Arabidopsis thaliana: one gene and its partners. The protein of the gene in region 4 interacts with the protein of the main gene of each other region in a pairwise test. Each region holds a gene or a part of one and is shown on either strand. Other genes may lie near its edges. The genes, in order: AT3G46600, GRF6, LBD41 and BHLH92.

Region 1 (4,723 bases), on a different chromosome or scaffold from region 4:
TTACTGGTCACAACACCTAATGCATCAACTGCAGACTGAGCCACCATCCACTCAGGTAGAGGCTCTCTAATCTGAACAGGTTCTTGGTCTAAAGAACCTTTGTGTATTATTATGATGATCCATATTGTAAGATTCTGACATAGTTGAAGATCTGGTCTCAGTTCTTCTTTGTTTTTTTTTTTCTTTCTTTCAAATGTAAAGTTTTATAATTGGAAATAAGGTTGGGTTTTTTCTAACAATGTAAAGGATTTGTTGTAAATCTTTGGTGACATTTTTATTCTGTCTATATGATTTATGGCTCGGCCTATCATATCACAACGACAACGAACTGATATATATATACCTCATCCAAACTCTAGGAGTGCTGGAGAATTCAATTGTTGGATAAATTGTTACTCAAGCTGGTCTATGTTTGGTCAGTTTATGGTTCACATGTGTCCTATATTAGGAAAGAATACACAGAAGCTTGTGCTTGTGAGTGGTATGTGTGCTATGGTATTTACCTTAAATACGGGTCGTTCAGAGTAATAAGCTGGTCTCAAAGCCTCTTTTAAAGGCTATAGCCACAAACAAAGGCACAAAATCCTGGATCTCTAACCAGTAAAGAAGTCGATGTTGAACTAAAGTTCGCAAATATTTGCAGATAGCATTGAGTAGGCAAGCTCTTCCCACTTTTTTTTTTTTTTTTTTCACTGAACTGTTGCCTTTCATTGAATATTGGAGTTTGTGAAAAAATTTAAAGCAATTAGCAATAAAATCAAAAGGATATTGAAGTTTACATTTGGACCTGGACGAGATAATAGAGGATAACGTTCAATTTATTAGAAGTTATGATGACTGATATATTTACCGATTTAAAACTAATATATTTAGCAACTTGACGCAGCAAGAAAATTATGATTCTTAACTAATATACACCATATTATATATATTTAGAAGATTTAATTAATATTTAAAATTATGCTTTTTATTTGATTTTGTTTTAAATCGTCATATAATACATAAAATAAAATCAAAAAACAATTTTTTTTTATACATATATTGTGATTTTTAATTTTAAACACGGACACGTATTACCCAATTGACAAAATAATGTGTATGTTTAATGTTCCACATTGACTAAAATATTTAGACAATGATTCAGAATCATATCATATAATGAATATTTACAATAATAAAATAACTGGGTTTTTGTTGGAATGGGTTTTGCGGAACGGATTTTTGAATCTACATTAATAACAAATTAAAATATCATTAATCTGCCGTTTCAATACATATTAAATCTTTTTTTTAACACCACTAATATTATACATATCAAATCAGTCTGATTTAAAAAAATATATATAAAACCAAAATGTCTCATGGTATAATGTTACTATATAAAAATTGTAAATTATAAAATATTAATGTCTTAGAGAATTGTATAATTTTCAAACTTTTATATATAATAAATAATCATTAAATTTTAAAAATCACTACTTAAAAAAAAAAAAAAAATCAAGGGACAGGTTATACAATTAAGATTTACATCTTGTTTTTTTTTTGGAATTTTGGTGATGTGGTAACAGACTACTAAATAGTTTACGCGTATTATATGCAAAATAAATTATCAAACAAATATATTGTAGTAAATTATAAAATTTACTATATTATTATTTAAAAACTGAAATTTGCTTGTGTCTTGTAGAAAAAAAAACTGAACCAAAACAAACTTAATTTACTTCGAAGTTTTATATTTCGTTATACAAAAAGAAAAAGTCTAAATTTCTAAATACATTTAGAAAATATATTCAAGGTAATAACTAATAAGTCAAATATTTGACCAGACAAGTGACCAAAAGGAAGACAACAACAAGAAAACAAATAGCTTTTTAGCCATTTGGACCCACGACAGTAGATAAAGTCTTGGACATATTATTACTAACCTTTTGTGGCGGCTTAGTGTTTATCTTCAACCCCACACATTCTCTGTTTCCTCGAAACTTCATTTTTCTTCTTTGCCAAGACAAAGATTAAATAAGACAAATATCAACCCTATCCTTTGTTTATATCAACAACATCTCGCAACTTGTGTTCACATGAAACTTCTCACTACTCTCTTTCATTTCCTCTTTTCGTTGACTTACTAAAGTACTCTTGTTTCAATCTTCATTCTAGAGAGATTCTGTTTCATGGATGCTATTTTGCCAGTACCCGTTGATGGGTTCAGATTCGACACCGGTTCTGGATCTTGTTGCAAACCGAGGAACAATCTTGAATCTGGGACGACCAATCGTTTCACTTGTTTCAACGAATCTGAATCTCAGAGCAACCCTTCTCCGACCGAGTCTAAGGTATGTTCAGATTACCTTCCTGTCTTTAAGTACATCAATGACATGTTGATGGAAGAAGATCTTGAAGGTCAGTCTTGTATGTTGGAAGACAGTTTGGCTTTACAAGCCGCAGAGAGATCTTTCTTCGAAGTGCTTCAAGATCAAACTCCAATCTCGGGTGATCTAGAGGATGGTTCTCTTGGAAACTTCAGTTCTATAACGAGTTTGCATCAACCTGAAGTTTCAGAGGAGTCAACCAGAAGGTATCGACATAGGGATGATGATGAAGATGATGATCTTGAGAGTGGAAGGAAATCGAAGCTCCCTGCGATTTCTACGGTGGATGAGTTAGCAGAGAAGTTTGAGGAAGTGTTGTTGGTATGTCAAAAGAATGATCAGGGAGAAGCAACAGAGAAGAAAACAAGACACGTAAAAGGCTCATCGAATCGATACAAGCAGCAAAAGTCAGATCAGCCAGTAGATATGAGGAATCTTTTGATGCAATGCGCGCAAGCTGTGGCGAGTTTTGACCAGAGAAGAGCTTTTGAGAAACTGAAGGAGATAAGAGAACACTCTTCTCGCCACGGTGATGCGACTCAAAGACTTGGTTATCACTTTGCTGAGGCGCTTGAAGCTCGTATTACAGGAACCATGACTACACCAATATCTGCTACTTCTAGCAGAACATCAATGGTGGACATTTTGAAGGCGTACAAGGGATTTGTTCAGGCTTGCCCCACCTTAATAATGTGTTATTTCACTGCAAACAGAACAATCAATGAGCTTGCTTCCAAAGCAACCACACTTCACATCATTGATTTTGGGATTCTCTATGGATTTCAATGGCCTTGTCTGATACAAGCTTTGTCAAAACGTGACATCGGACCACCACTGCTCCGTGTGACTGGTATCGAGCTTCCTCAGTCAGGTTTCCGTCCATCAGAGCGGGTAGAAGAGACCGGGCGAAGACTAAAGAGGTTCTGTGACAAGTTCAATGTCCCGTTTGAGTACAGTTTCATAGCCAAGAATTGGGAGAACATAACTCTTGATGATCTGGTGATCAATAGTGGCGAGACAACAGTTGTCAACTGCATCCTCCGGCTACAATATACACCTGATGAAACCGTGTCCCTCAACTCACCGAGAGACACGGCTCTGAAACTATTCAGAGACATCAACCCTGACCTCTTTGTGTTTGCAGAGATTAACGGGACTTACAATTCACCCTTCTTCCTAACAAGGTTCAGAGAAGCTCTCTTCCATTGCTCGTCACTCTTTGACATGTATGAGACCACATTATCAGAAGACGACAATTGCAGGACACTGGTGGAGAGGGAACTAATCATAAGAGATGCAATGAGTGTGATAGCCTGTGAAGGGTCTGAGCGGTTTGCAAGGCCAGAGACCTACAAGCAATGGCAGGTTAGGATTCTAAGAGCAGGATTTAGACCAGCGAAACTAAGCAAACAGATAGTAAAGGACGGGAAAGAGATAGTGAAAGAACGTTACCACAAAGATTTTGTGATCGACAATGATAACCACTGGATGTTTCAGGGCTGGAAAGGAAGAGTCCTTTATGCTGTTTCTTGCTGGAAACCTGCTAAGAAGTAATAAAACAGTTCTGTAATCATTTGCATAATTTTGCTAGCTTTCCATTTCTTTGTTTTTGGTTTCAAAGTGTTGTAGAAACTGTTTGCTCTCATATATATTGAATGAGTCTCTCTCTTTCTCTCTACTTTCTTGCAAGTACATATGGCAAACCAAGAATTCAAAACTTATTTCAAAAAGATCCATAACTTTGAACTGAACAAACCAGTTTGCATATCAATGTGTCTGATGATAATACAGATGTTGTACGAAGATAAAAATTCACAATATAAACAGAGAGACTAGACAAACTAAAAAGAGTATTAAAGAACAAGAAAGTGATTACTTGGAAACTTTCTTCTTCCCTGTAATGGCAATTTTCTTGCCTTTAAGGGTCCTTGGATGCGCCTTACCCCACGGTAACCTTGTACAATGTGTTTTCGTCAGACTAAGGTCTATTCTTTTTGTCTGGTCGAGGACCCAAAAGATTAAGATCAATGGTGGCTCCATAAGTCTCAGCTGATTTAACAACCGCATCATATGGCTTAGAAGAGAGTTTAAGCCCTTCGTTTTGAGCCTTCACATGTAACTCATAAGCAAGCCTTGGCTTTGCATCATTTGCAAGAGCCTCAATCAACATCTCGTAAGTTATCTCGTTAGGCTCAACATTCTCACTTTTCATTCTATGAAACCACTCATAAGCCACACCACTTAACCCGTTCCTCGCGCAACCACTTATAACCGCGTTGAAAGTCACAACGCTCGGTTCAATACCCTTTGAAGCCATTTCCTTGAGAAGGGTATCCAAAAGATTGAACTTTTGC
Region 2 (4,137 bases), on a different chromosome or scaffold from region 4:
TTCTGCAGTTTCTTCTGTTCCCTTTTACTTTAATTTTTCTTTTGGGTTTTTAGGTTTCATGTTGCTCTCTCTCTCTCTCTCTCTCTCTGTAGGATCTCTTTCAACTTTTCAGAACATATTGACTGCAATTATAGTTTATAAGCAACAAAATTACACGCACACACAAGTATAATTTGCTTTATGTCATGTACTCATGTGTGTGAGTGAAGAAATAATAATTCAGTTTGATGAGAATAAGAGAAGTCGTCTTTCTCTCTCACTGAGTCAGAGCAGAAAGCTTTTGATTGGGTGTGTGGCTTTTTCAGACCTGACCAAACTCAGTCAGGGAGCAGAACTCAACTCAACTCAATTGCAAAACCTGTCTTTTTTTTACTCTTTTCTTATTTTCTTCATCATTTTTTTCTATAACATAACCTTTAAGAAAAATTATTTACTGTTTTAATTATAAAAAAAAACTATTTACTATCCACAGTAAATAGTTTAATGAACAAGTTTCTGACAAAAAGAATCAGAAATAATTAATTACAGAAACATGAATTGATAAATTTGTTGCTAATCAATGACTTAGTGACATCGTACTATCACTAATATTGACAAGAGATGAGCAGAAACAATTTAAACATTGAAACCAAACTAATATAACTACTTTACACAAGTTAAATCTTTTATGCTAATATAATGCATGGATCACAAAAAGAAACTCCTAATTAAATTAGACAAAAAAAGAGAGAATTTGCATTACCATCTTAACAAGAAATACAAGGTTATAAGAACAAAAGATGATCAAATGAAGAGTGAAGTAGAAACAGAAGATTTAGAAGAAGGCCATTCATCAAGAAACCTATAAAACCTCTTGCTTCCTTGCTCTTCTTCATTATCATGATCTCTTTGTTTCAGCTTCTCCTCTAACATCAATGGCCTCTCACGTGTCCTCAAGTCAGTACCAAGGATGAAGCAATGTCGATCCGGCTGCTTCTCCTCGTTGTTGATGCCTCTACATGAGCCATCATCATTATCTTCCATTGCTGAGCCAGAGCAGCTTTTGATTGACCCGGAAGGTTCTATGGAGAAGAAATCATCCATGTATCCACTTCTTCTTCTTCTACTTTCAAACATGTTTTGAAGATAAAAAATAGTCAATCATTGTGTTGTCATTAGAGTAAAACAGAGGAGGAAGGTGTGTTTGAAACCTGGAAGAAGAGTCGAGAAAGAGATTTGGAGTGAATTGAGTAGGAGGAGGCTTTCTTGAGGAAGAACGGTTCTTGCCTCTATGCATATGTCTCTCACAGTACTTAGAGTCAGGGTAAGCTTCTTTAGAGCATCTCCATTTCTTGCCATCAGTTCTTCTACATCTTCCTGGCTCTGCATCTATCTTTCTTCCCATTCCCATCTCATACACATTCCACCCAACTGAAAAAAAAGAGTCAAATTCGTTTACATTATCACCAAACCCTAAGGATAACCATCATAGAGCACAAAGCAAAGAAGATAAAGTGTGCTTACAGTGTGGAGAAAGAGTGGGAGAGAAGAAGCTTGAAGAAGAAGATGAAGAAGAAGAAGAAGAGAAGAGAAAGGGTCTTTTGATGAGGAAGAGAAGATGAGGTGGAACAGGCATATTTGCAGCTAAGTACTTGAACACAAGAGCTTGGTTTTCAAGTTCTTCCCATTGTGATTCTGTGAATGGAATCCTTGTAGCCATGAAGAGAGAAAGAGAAAGAGAGATGAAGAAGAAAGAGAGATTAAAGATTGGGATTTGTATTGGAAAATTGAAAGTGTAAGAGAGTAGTAGGTATGTTTTTATTGATAAAGTGTCCATTGGTCACCTGCAGTCTGCAGAATCTCTGTGCTTCATGTCCTCTTCTTGTTTATTATTCCTTTTTCTTATTTCTTAAAATTTTCTTTTCAGCTTTAGTTTTGGTTTTATCTTAAGCACCATTTCAGGTTTTTCTTTTCCTTCTTAAAAGCTAAATTTTGTGACAAGGGGCATAGATAACTTATGTTTAATTTATTTACGTATTATATTCAGGAGTTTGTAACTTTTGTTTGCGTTTAGAAAAACGAGAAAATTTGGTAACCGAAAAGAGAATCTACCAAGTTACATACGTATACGTAAACAATATCCTTCGGGATTGACTCTATTAAGTTCTAATTATTTTTGGTTGACAAAAAAAAAATCTAACAAGTCATGAAACTTAAGAGGTAAAGTTGTGTACAAAATAATAAGACATTAAAAATTTCAGCTCTAATGTTGGGTTGTTATGATATCTTTTGAGTCATATAACTTATATCTCAAACTTTAGTATATGTGAGAAAGAAAAAATAAGAAAAAAAAAATACTTATTTGTGAAAGAAGCTTGAATTTAACCCTACAATATTTAAGATGTTTTTAGCATTTATATTCGATCCTAAATATAGTAAGTAAATAGCCAAGTGAGAGGATTTATGTCCCTCTTCTATTCTTCTTAATGTTTTAACTATAAAAAAAGAAACATGTAAGCATATTGCAACTATTACAAAGATCGTTATAAAGGTTTAGCTAACCACAAAGAACATTCTCTTAATCATTCATTATAGTATTAGAAAATAAAATGAAAGAAGTCCAATTGTAATGAGTTTATAAATTTTGAATTATACCAAATCATTATTTTTGTTCTTCAATCAAATAAACCGTATCGTGTAATGTGACATCTTTGGTTAGATAGACGACTCGTAGTACTCGTAGCTCCAACACATTCGACATTTATAAAATTAAGTGTACACGGTCCACTTGTGTTAAAAACACTATGCATGAATAATAAATTGTTTTGAATAAAAAATATTTATGAGAATAGAAGTAAAAAAGTTTGAGAGAGAGAGAGGGAAAATAATGAGTGAGTCTGCAAACTCTGAAAACTTCTGCACTCTCTGCGACTCTTCCCTTTCACAGCTCTCACTCACTCCCATACACACCCATCACTCATGCCACATCTCTTTCTCCCTCTTTTATTTTTGTTTTCTTTTGAATTTTTCTAAATTATTTTATATTTCTCAAAAGAAAAAAAACTGTGATTATTTTAATTATCTTTTTTCTTTGTTAAAGATTATTTTAATTATCAAAATTTAAAATTTTGTTCATGCCTATGTAAATAATTCATTTGAAGTCGGTCATCAAATGAAGTTAGACCCAATGCATTAACAGATGGTGGGGGTTTGTGAAAAAACCTCAGAAACTTACACTTCATAAAAACATGATTTATTTTCTTAGGAAAACCTCTAATACTAAAAATACATCTAAATTGATCATATAAATCATGTTTTTTATCCAAAAATATATAAGGTTGATAAATTAACTATATTTAAAAAGACTATATTTGAGACGTAACGATTTAAAAATATTTAGGCAGTTTTTTTTGAAAGATTAGAAACGATTATGTTGAAGTTATAAATAAAAGGTGTTTCACATAATACATACTCATAAATAAAGTTAATAGCATCTTAATCGTCTTCAATTTCTCTTTTATATATGAGACCGATTAATTTCCATGTAAAGATTATTTAATATTGACGGGAAGCAAAACATAAAGAACACTAAGCACATTAACGATGTTACTTAAAATTTTAAAAAGGAATATAAACAAACTGTTTTATTTGGGTAATTATGATTACTTTTTTCTTCATTTATTTATATAGAATTAAAATACTTACGGAGTCGGAACCTCTAGGAATAGCAATCACTATGCCTAAACATGAATCAAGTTCGCAAGCGTCGAATTTGAAAGGTTGAAACTTTGGAAATCCACCAGATTAGAGAAAAACTCTCTGCTTTTATTAATTAAAATGATAAAACGTGTCGAGCAAAAAACTTAGGGTCTTTCTATATATAGAGAAGAAACCAAATCATAAAATAGAAAACTCTAAGCAAAATAGAAAACTTGAAATAAGGAAATATGAAAAGAAATGTAAAACTGCTAAATCTCTCCTACATCAGTCTCCTCCACCTCTGAAGAACTTGTCCTCAAGTTCTCTTCTGGATAAAGGACCCCGTCTGCATGATACTCATGAATGTCAGCTACGTTGAAGGTATTGGAAATGTTCATTGATTTCGGGAGAGCCACAACATAAGCATTATCATTGATCTTCCGCAACACCTTAAACGGG
Region 3 (4,194 bases), on a different chromosome or scaffold from region 4:
TACAAGCAGTGAAATTACTAAAAAAGATGGCCAAACAAACCCATAGACAAAGATTGCTGAATTGTTTAAATTCTCTTTAGAAACCTCCAAATTACCACATTCCACTTATAAGAACTAGCTCTCAGATCACGAAAGAACAGAGAAACCTCTAAAATCGACCAAATCAAATACTCGATCGAGAAACTTAATTGAGAAAACCGACTCTACCGAGAGAACAATAAACTCGATCGAGAAACCTCCTCGGATACGTAATTCAACAGTCTCAATTGACAAGTAAGGAAACTATCTGTAGAAATTCGCATACCGAATCCTCGGGTTTTACTTCGATCTCGAAGTGAGTCCCCTTGAGAGTTTTCACAAATATCTTCATCTTCTCTCACCGTCGAAATTCTCTTCCCAGTGACCGATTACTCAGGCTAAAATCCCGTTCTGATTGATCACCGCCGGCAAATAAATTCGGGAAAGAGAGTAGGTAGGCGAAGAAGGTACTACAGAATCTGGCCCCTACCTTTGCGTTCCCTCGATATCTCCACTGGATCACACCCGAAGCACATGGCTTGTGCTTTCAACTCTGCCAGGTCAGCCGCCATTATCCTATTAAAATATGCCACGTGGTATTGACAATTTCCTTAATACAGTCGTGAAAGGATAGGCCCAAAATATCACTTATTAAATGATAGCAGATAGGCCCATAATATTTAGAAATAAATCAACTTTCTTTTTATAAATTTTTTGCTTTTATTCGTTAAAAAATAGATAATATCTCAGCCAATTCTTGAATTAATCTCTGTAAATAATTTTGTACATATACTCTATTCTTTTGTCACAAATGGAAAGTGAACATTAAAGGGGGAAATAGAGAACTATATATTAAAAAAAAGTTACCGGCTCGACTTGAAGATCATCAGAGCCGAGCCGAATAGAGCTGATGGGGGCAAAACTTCTGAGTATAGCTAAAACGGAGCTTAGAGCATAAGCTCAGTCTTACACGTGCTCTCCTTCTGACACGTGCCAAACACGCCGATCCTTCTCTTCTTAACAGGTACCACATGATACGCACGTGACACCGGTTCGAGCCTTAAAGTTAGGTCAAGCTTTATCTCGCCGGAGCCCTTCACAGCCGGAGGCGAGAATGCCAAAACCTCAGAGACATTGCTCTCGGATTCCTTGCTCTCTCCTTCATGAGCAGCCACTATTTCAGACTGATGACTCAACGACGAATCGTGACTAGCCTCGTCAGACTTTCCCTCCGATTCCGCCTGTATCGCGACGGTGGAGACCCGCTTAGCACGGCGAGTTTTCGCAAGTTTCAAATCGGTTGAGCCAGTAGCCGCGGCGGCAGAGTTATCATCCTTGGAGATATGTCGGATGTCGTAGATCTTAAGAGGCGGACCTTGGCCGATCGTCGCAGCGTCTGTGGCGATCTCTTTGACCGGTTCTCCTTTCATCACAGCCTCCACGGCGTCTTGACAAAGCTGCCAATTCCCCGACCACAACAAACCCACCGAACCATAGATCGGATTCACAATCCTCCCACAAGCTTCGTGCAACAACGATCGGAAAATCCCTGCAAAAATATTTGATCTAATTAGGTTCAAAAAATGACCTAAGACGAAACGGCATCGTTGGAAAGTATAATTCAAAACTGCCATCAAAAGGTTAAAAGAAAAACCACTAACCAGGACGAAGGTGATTGGGACCGGCGTTGATGAGGTTCATGAGTCCAGCACGGCCATAGAACTTGGCGAGAAAGACAGTTGCGTTAGCTTGCGCTTCAGGCGATTTGATCCAAGCCAAACACGGCCTTATACTACAATCCTCACTACACCCTTTCCGAAGAACTCTGCATCCATTACAGCTCATCCGCATCTTTGGTTTCGATTATCTTACAAGTACCAACAACTTTGATCGTACAAAATACAAACAAACGATTTGGAACTCTTTGACTCTGTTGTGAAAGTTATTTCTGAGATTTTGTGGGAGGTGTTAATGAAGATTCACTGATTATATAAGAAAGACGATAGCTTTAAAGGATTGTGTGCGTGTAAGAAGCCCCTGGATTTTTGGGGGAAGCGGAGAGAGATTATAAAACCAAGGGAAGAAGGCAGAAGACAAAGAAAACAAGATAAGAAGAGCTGTTTTTCTCTAAAGACAAGGGTTGTTTTGTCTTTTAATTACAAAATCCTTCCTTTATTTTCCCAGAACCGCCGCTGTTTTTCTTCACCCTGATTCAAGGTTTTGCTTCTTGTGTTTCTTCCCCAAGTTATGTTTTTGTCCCCACTCTATCCAATGCGCGTGTCATACACGTGACATATCAAGTTACCATTTTTTAATTACTAGTGAATAGTCTATAAATTCTGGATTATACAATCTAATTCGTTCTAAAACGATTTAATATGGTTGTTGATTAAAGTATCTGACCAATTCAGAGTATCTATGGAGTAGGATTTTGGTTAAATTGTCTTAAATGTGTTTGAAGAGACTGTGATAAGACACGTGGCCTCCACGCTCGCGAGTAAGAAATTTGGTCGAATCGCCACGTAAGTCATCCAGATGGGATTTGAGTCATTTGAGGAGCATTTGGAAGAACTGGGGCCCACACTTAGCTCCTGGTTTTCTGGAAAAGAATCTGTTTTAACAATACTGCTTTCAACTATGTCCAAAACTATTGACTGGTTTCTGGTTTTATGGTTTCCGGTTTTTGATCTTTTCTTCTTCTCTCCCTGTGGGCGGATCTTTGTGACTCTCTCTGTTAGCCGACGCTTTCGTAAAAAACGTAATCTTAAATCATCTTTTACTTAATAAATTTTATCTTTAATCACCTTTAGATTAATTCTTATTTTCCCCACCTTATAGTTTAATCCAGACAACCAAAACTCAGCTTTGATATTCTTTCTTACGTAATCCACTTAAATTTAACTTTGTACCAGATTACATTACAATATTGTGAGACCCATTTTGTAGCACATTTGATTTGAGTTTAGTGGATTCTGTTATGTATCCTCTTATTATTATAAGGGAAGTACAAATTGAATTTTGTCTAATTTGATCTTAATTTTTATTTCAAATTTGGATTTTGTTCTTTGTTATTCAAAATCATTAAGGGTAATTTGGTCTTAACAATCTTCTAAACTTTATATGATTCGATTAAATCTAAACCGTTCAATAAAATTAATTCCCTTCAATCTAAACCGTTCAACAAAAATAAATAAATAACAAGCAAAAAAAATTTAATCACATTTTAACACATTCTTCTTATCACTAAATAACAACAAAAAAAATCCAAATTATTTTTTAGTTATGTTTGATTAAAAAATTTATATTTATAAGTTTAGGATATCAAATTTACTCAAATATTTAGTATAAAAACCAAATAAACCGATTGCCCGCGGTAAACCGTGAGTTAAATCCTTGTTTTCTATTAAAAAAACATGTACATTTAACAACAAACCACGTAGCAAAAAGACAAAAATGTAGCGTTTCATACATCAATTCATATTCATGTCTTTGGTTCAAAATTTAATGAGTTGTAAAAAATAATTAACTAGTATTTCCGATTGGTATTATGATTCTACTGCAATTCATATCCATGGGTTTGGTTCAAAATTTACTAAGTTCTAAACGACATTAACTAGTCAAATACTATTTCCATTCATTTAATGCGTCCATGAGATTAGTGTTCTTGTTCACGACAATATTGAAGGAATCTTCGTTCGTTGAATAGACCGTACGTAATTCGTAAGTGTCAAGTTACGTAGTCAACGCTGATGGCTCCGTTTCATTCGCATTATTTTCCGTTTCGTTTCTCTTGTCCATTCCAGAGAGACAAGACAATTAGAATCTCTAAAGACGGAAGCTTGTTCGAATAATACAAAGCATTTTGAATTTATCAAGATTACAATTTACAAAGACTTGAGAATCTCCAAAAAAGAAGAATGGTTATTATACACAGAAAAGAGAACAACACTCCCAAATTGGTTTAATATGTTACAACGAGACTTCAGAAATAAGAAGTTAACACATAAAGTCTCGACCTTACCTCTTAATTACGGTAGATACATATATATACACAACATTGAACCTCATCATAATCACAGAAAACTGCGGTAAAAGCTTGAGCGATCGTTAATCTTCCTTTTCCTCTTCTTCTGCAAAACTATATATACTTCTTCAAAAAATGGAGTCTTTGAGTCT
Region 4 (4,438 bases):
TTATCTCCATATCTATCTTCTTAGATGACTTTGATCTCATTTTTAAGTCTTAATTTCGATAATTATTTTGATGACTTTCTGTTTAACTCCACCAGGAGGGTTTAGATTTGAGTACTGTGTTAAATTATCTTATTTTGCTCCTCATTCATTTTACCAAATTTAAAGTTTTCAAATATTTGATAAATATGCAAAAAGTTTTGGTTGAAGGAGCTGTTTTCTTGTTTAGTTCCTTCTTGTTTTGACTCGGTAGGTGAAAGTTTATTATCCATTTTTGTATTTCCTATGACAAATCTATGGTCTTTTTTGGCGATTTCATAAGTAATTAAATAATGAACCACATGGTGAACAAGTGTATTTGCTAATAAGATAGTACTAGTTCACAATTATTAAGATTGTAACGCACAAATATATTAATCCCTATGTTCCTAGTTATTTAATGTTTTGAGTTGTTTACTTGTTCCAGCAACGTATTAAGTTGAAGAATAACATTGTATGTTTAAAAACTCTTACTATAGAGTGTACGTAGTAAATAGTATTGAATAATAAATAATAATAGCCAAAGTATTGAACTTTCCAATTTCTATTTTTCAAAATAAACTTTAATTGGGATAGGTTTTTATGCTGGTTTTAATCAAATTTTATGGTATTTTTTATTGATAAAATGCATTACATATTTACCAAATTATCTATCACACAATTTGCAAATTTTGGCACTATATATGGTTATATACTTGATAAATTTTCTATTATATTCTATCAATATTATTTTCTTAGTTTTATTTTTCAAACCTCAAAACTCAAAACTCAAAAGTAGTGTGCCCCATTATTTTTCTTTATGTGTGTCAATAAAGCAATGACCAGTTAATTTAAGTATTTAACTATATACAAATTTAAATACAAAAGAAAATTAATGACAGAAAGTCAACAGAATTAGTAGTCTTTGTAAAAGGAAGCTTCTGGGAGAAAGAGAAGTTTCCATTCAGTTTCCTGGAGTCTTCTTTCCACTCTCTTTTCAACCTCCTCTCCTCTAATCTGCCAAAAAGTTAACTTTAAATTTAATATCATCACACTAATACAGATCTAACTACTTAATTAAAAAAACATACAACCATCTACTTTTTTTTTGCTACTAACACAAAACAACCTACCTATTATTACCTTTATGTACTTGTCAAGTTGTCATAACCAAAGAGAAACCAAAACCGGATTCAACCAATTCGAATCGAATTAAATATGTACCTGAGTCTCGATGGTCATGGTCGCAGAAAACTCTTGAGGAGAGAAATTGGCATGGACTGTTTTCAGTTTTGTTCCCATTGATTTAAGATAATGAAGCGCTTCAAGCATTGAATCTAGTCCAGACAAAGGTTCTTTTAGATTAACCCTAACCTTTGTTTCACTCATTTCATCATGACCATCCTTTGCTGATTTTTCCTCAATCACTTTAATTCTTCTCACTAGTTCTTTCTTTAATCTTTGTAATTTCGCAATCTCATCCACGGCTTTTTCGACAATCGAATTTTTGTCATTCTGAAATAAAATGAGAATATAAGGAGAAATGATGGTCTTGAAACTTGTTTCGATATCAATCTATGATGTTCTTTAAACTTGTTTCTATATCAAAATCCTTAAGTAAAAGAAAATAGTGATAAAAGAAAAGATTCCAGTGCAAAAACTTACAAACATTTTATACAAATGATTGTAGTTGGAAATTTATCATACTCAAAACTTTATATTATACCTTACTCAATATAAATTTATAGATATTTAAGATAAGCTTCTAAAACCAGATCAATGCATGTAATTAAGCATACAAACATCAAAGATCAGTGAACAGACATAGTAGTCGAAATTCTGAAAATTTAGTATCCATGAATCTAATCCATTTCTACCGAATATCTAATTTTGTGTGCCATTTTGAACTGTAAAAATTCGGATTTTTGTTAGAACTACTATGATTTTCTTTCCAAGTCATTAAGAAAAATAAAGTTCGTTTCAAGTTTAATATTACACAAATAATCAAGGTACCTTAGTGGCAAATGGTAGTAGAGAATGGAGAGCTAAGTAACTCTGTTTTTGTTTCTCTCTTCTCGTCCTTTCTTTCAACATATGTCGCCGGCTTCTTTCCTTCTCTGGAGCCACCGTATTTTTCTTCTCCTCCCAATTCTTTCTCAGAAGATTGACCATTCTCTTCTTCACGTTCACCTTCGAAGAAGATATCTTCGGCGACATCATCCTCAGTTCCGTGTCCTTCATATATGACCTAAAGGCGCTTCTGATAGGTACACTGACGCTTCTATCACCCGAGATGTCGGCCACGATTAGATCCCAGAAGTTGTTTTCTTCTTGACAACTCAAACCTAGAAAAAAGTTATCCATCTTTCTCTCTTAGTGTGTTTGACAATCTTGATTTGTGTGATTTTTGATGTTGTCTTTTGTGTGGTGTGTCTATATACCTATTATGATTTAATCACGTGTGGTTTTGTTGATTTAACACACGTGAAACATATTGAGAACGTGGTCAATGAATAGTTTTCTCAGCTTCTTGGTTAGATGAAGTGACGTATATAGGAGAAAACCAGAGACAGTCAAATGATGTATCAAAGGTGAACTCTAGAGAAAGTCAAGTGACGTGTCTTGGCAACAAAATTTAGACATTACGTGACGCGTAAAAGCTATAACTATTTGTTTGTTTGTTTTCAAATTAACCAATTTTCTTTTTGAAGTTAAAGTACAAAATCTCCTTTGTGAGTTCAAAAAACACAACACCGTGGAGAAAAGAAAAGAGCCGGCCCTATACCGTTTTATCAAACCTTAGGGTTTAATAATAATAATTAAGTTCATCAGTCATCACAAGTGGAATTTGTGCGTGTGTGTGTGTGGCATTAGTTTATTCTTCGTCTAATTATTGTAACACATTAGTCATTGAGATTTTCTTTCCACGTATCCTAACTCTTGGGTGGGAAATTTCCTCGTGTGAATGACTTGACTAAAAATATTGACCAACTTCGATTATTTTATTTTCTGATAAGAGATTTTATCTTTACTACACTCGGATAATTGACCACTTCGATGGAAAATTCTTGCTTCTTCAACTTCTTTTTCTTTTACACTACCAACTTCGATTCTAGAAAACGATCTTTTTTAGTATAAATAACGAATTAAGTGATACTCAATTTAATGGGCTTGGGCTTTCTTAACTTCTCATGAATCAGTTTGACTTTCTCCTCTTTTCCCAACGAATTTAGGATTTTCAGAAGTTTCTAGAATCCAGAGCAACAATGGTGGCGAATCAAGTAATCTCCGGCGTTAAAGAAACCGCACAACCAATCACCAGCGCCGCTAGTCCATCGCCGACGCCACCACACGCGTCACACAAAACCTCACACATTTCCGAATCAATTTATCATCCTCTACTTCCTCCTAACCTTCTCTTTAATCACACATCACATCGCGGTTCTAGCATTCATCGCCGTTGGTTTAGCTTGGTACAATGTTACTTTCTCTACTTCGAATCGCTAGTGTTCGGAATTGCACAATTGAATTGGTTCACAATTTTAAAACCGGTTAACCAAATCATACATTTCAAAAAAAAAGCTGACACTGTAAACATATGATTACTAAACCGGTTTTCATGAGTCTAACCGAATGGACCGGCTATATGTACTCTTTTTCAGCTGACACTGAACACTGCTTCGATACGGCGAGTAAACTGTAAACATATAGCCGATCCTAAACATGTAACTGGTAACTTTCATGTACATAGTAGTAATGTAAGAAATTCGAAGACACAAAGACCTATTTACATCAAATGATTCTACATATACTCAGTGTTATTTTCCAAGTAAAGAGTCAAAATTCAAAGCATAGACTTCATTTTTTTCAGCGGGCTTCGGCTTCACTCTATTATCCTAATCATCTCCTGCAATAAGGACCCCCACAGGTTCATAACCATGCTCAAACAAAACATCTTATAAACTTGAGCAAAATCATGTCCTTTTTTCTTTTCTTAACCTTTCTTTTGGAAGCAAGACTCTGGCTTTTCTTTTCTTTCTTTTCACGGGCGCATTGACCGCACCAGTCTCGGAATTCGTTGTCATAAGTTTGCATCTCTCTGAACAAAGAGCTGCAAATGGAAATGCAGAAGAAAAGGTGTTTTAGTTGTGATCTGAAATCCTGAGGCAAGCTTCATGATTGCTTACTTTATGCACCAAAGAATCATATTGGCCCGACTACAAGATGTTATGGCGGCTTTTGCACCATGGCTGTGGCAGCCAAGGTGAAGTATAGCTTGACCCGGTTCATGACAGTACTCAAAAATTTCCTGTTTCAGTGAGAAATAATTGGTTCCTTTATTAGCTAACCATTTTGCCATTTACTGAATATAGGAACGTAAGAGGACTCACATACCTCTGGCTTTGGACCTGCTTTCAAATGT

What was found.
Region 1: the proteins of BHLH92 (region 4) and AT3G46600 interact in a two-hybrid assay, tested with the Arabidopsis thaliana proteins (one large-scale study listed by BioGRID).
Region 2: the proteins of BHLH92 (region 4) and GRF6 interact in a two-hybrid assay, tested with the Arabidopsis thaliana proteins (one large-scale study listed by BioGRID).
Region 3: the proteins of BHLH92 (region 4) and LBD41 interact in a two-hybrid assay, tested with the Arabidopsis thaliana proteins (one large-scale study listed by BioGRID).

Annotation. Positions count from the first base shown.
Region 1 is NC_003074.8:17,155,877-17,160,599, forward strand, and holds AT3G46600 (GRAS family transcription factor), read left to right. Parts: upstream 1-2,047; 5' UTR 2,048-2,171; coding exon 2,172-3,923; 3' UTR 3,924-4,089; downstream 4,090-4,723. Other genes in the region: TRFL1 (TRF-like 1), read left to right, coding at 1-70; AT3G46610 (Pentatricopeptide repeat (PPR-like) superfamily protein), read right to left, coding at 4,348-4,723. UniProt on the Arabidopsis thaliana protein: Probable transcription factor involved in plant development.
Region 2 is NC_003071.7:2,423,902-2,428,038, reverse strand, and holds GRF6 (growth-regulating factor 6), read right to left. Parts: upstream 1,864-4,137; 5' UTR 1,817-1,863; coding exon 1,504-1,816; exon of another isoform or gene 1,411-1,503; coding exon 1,191-1,410; intron 1,103-1,190; coding exon 784-1,102; 3' UTR 716-783; downstream 1-715.
Region 3 is NC_003074.8:535,782-539,975, forward strand, and holds LBD41 (LOB domain-containing protein 41), read right to left. Parts: upstream 2,346-4,194; 5' UTR 1,870-2,345; coding exon 1,680-1,869; intron 1,568-1,679; coding exon 966-1,567; 3' UTR 719-965; downstream 1-718. Other genes in the region: RAD23C (Rad23 UV excision repair protein family), read right to left, coding at 305-370.
Region 4 is NC_003076.8:17,532,380-17,536,817, forward strand, and holds BHLH92 (basic helix-loop-helix (bHLH) DNA-binding superfamily protein), read right to left. Parts: upstream 2,418-4,438; 5' UTR 2,380-2,417; coding exon 2,029-2,379; intron 1,531-2,028; coding exon 1,240-1,530; coding exon of another isoform or gene 1,228-1,239; exon of another isoform or gene 1,033-1,227; coding exon 931-1,032; 3' UTR 751-930; downstream 1-750. Other genes in the region: AT5G43660 (2-oxoglutarate (2OG) and Fe(II)-dependent oxygenase superfamily protein), read right to left, coding at 3,958-4,126, 4,203-4,324, 4,411-4,438.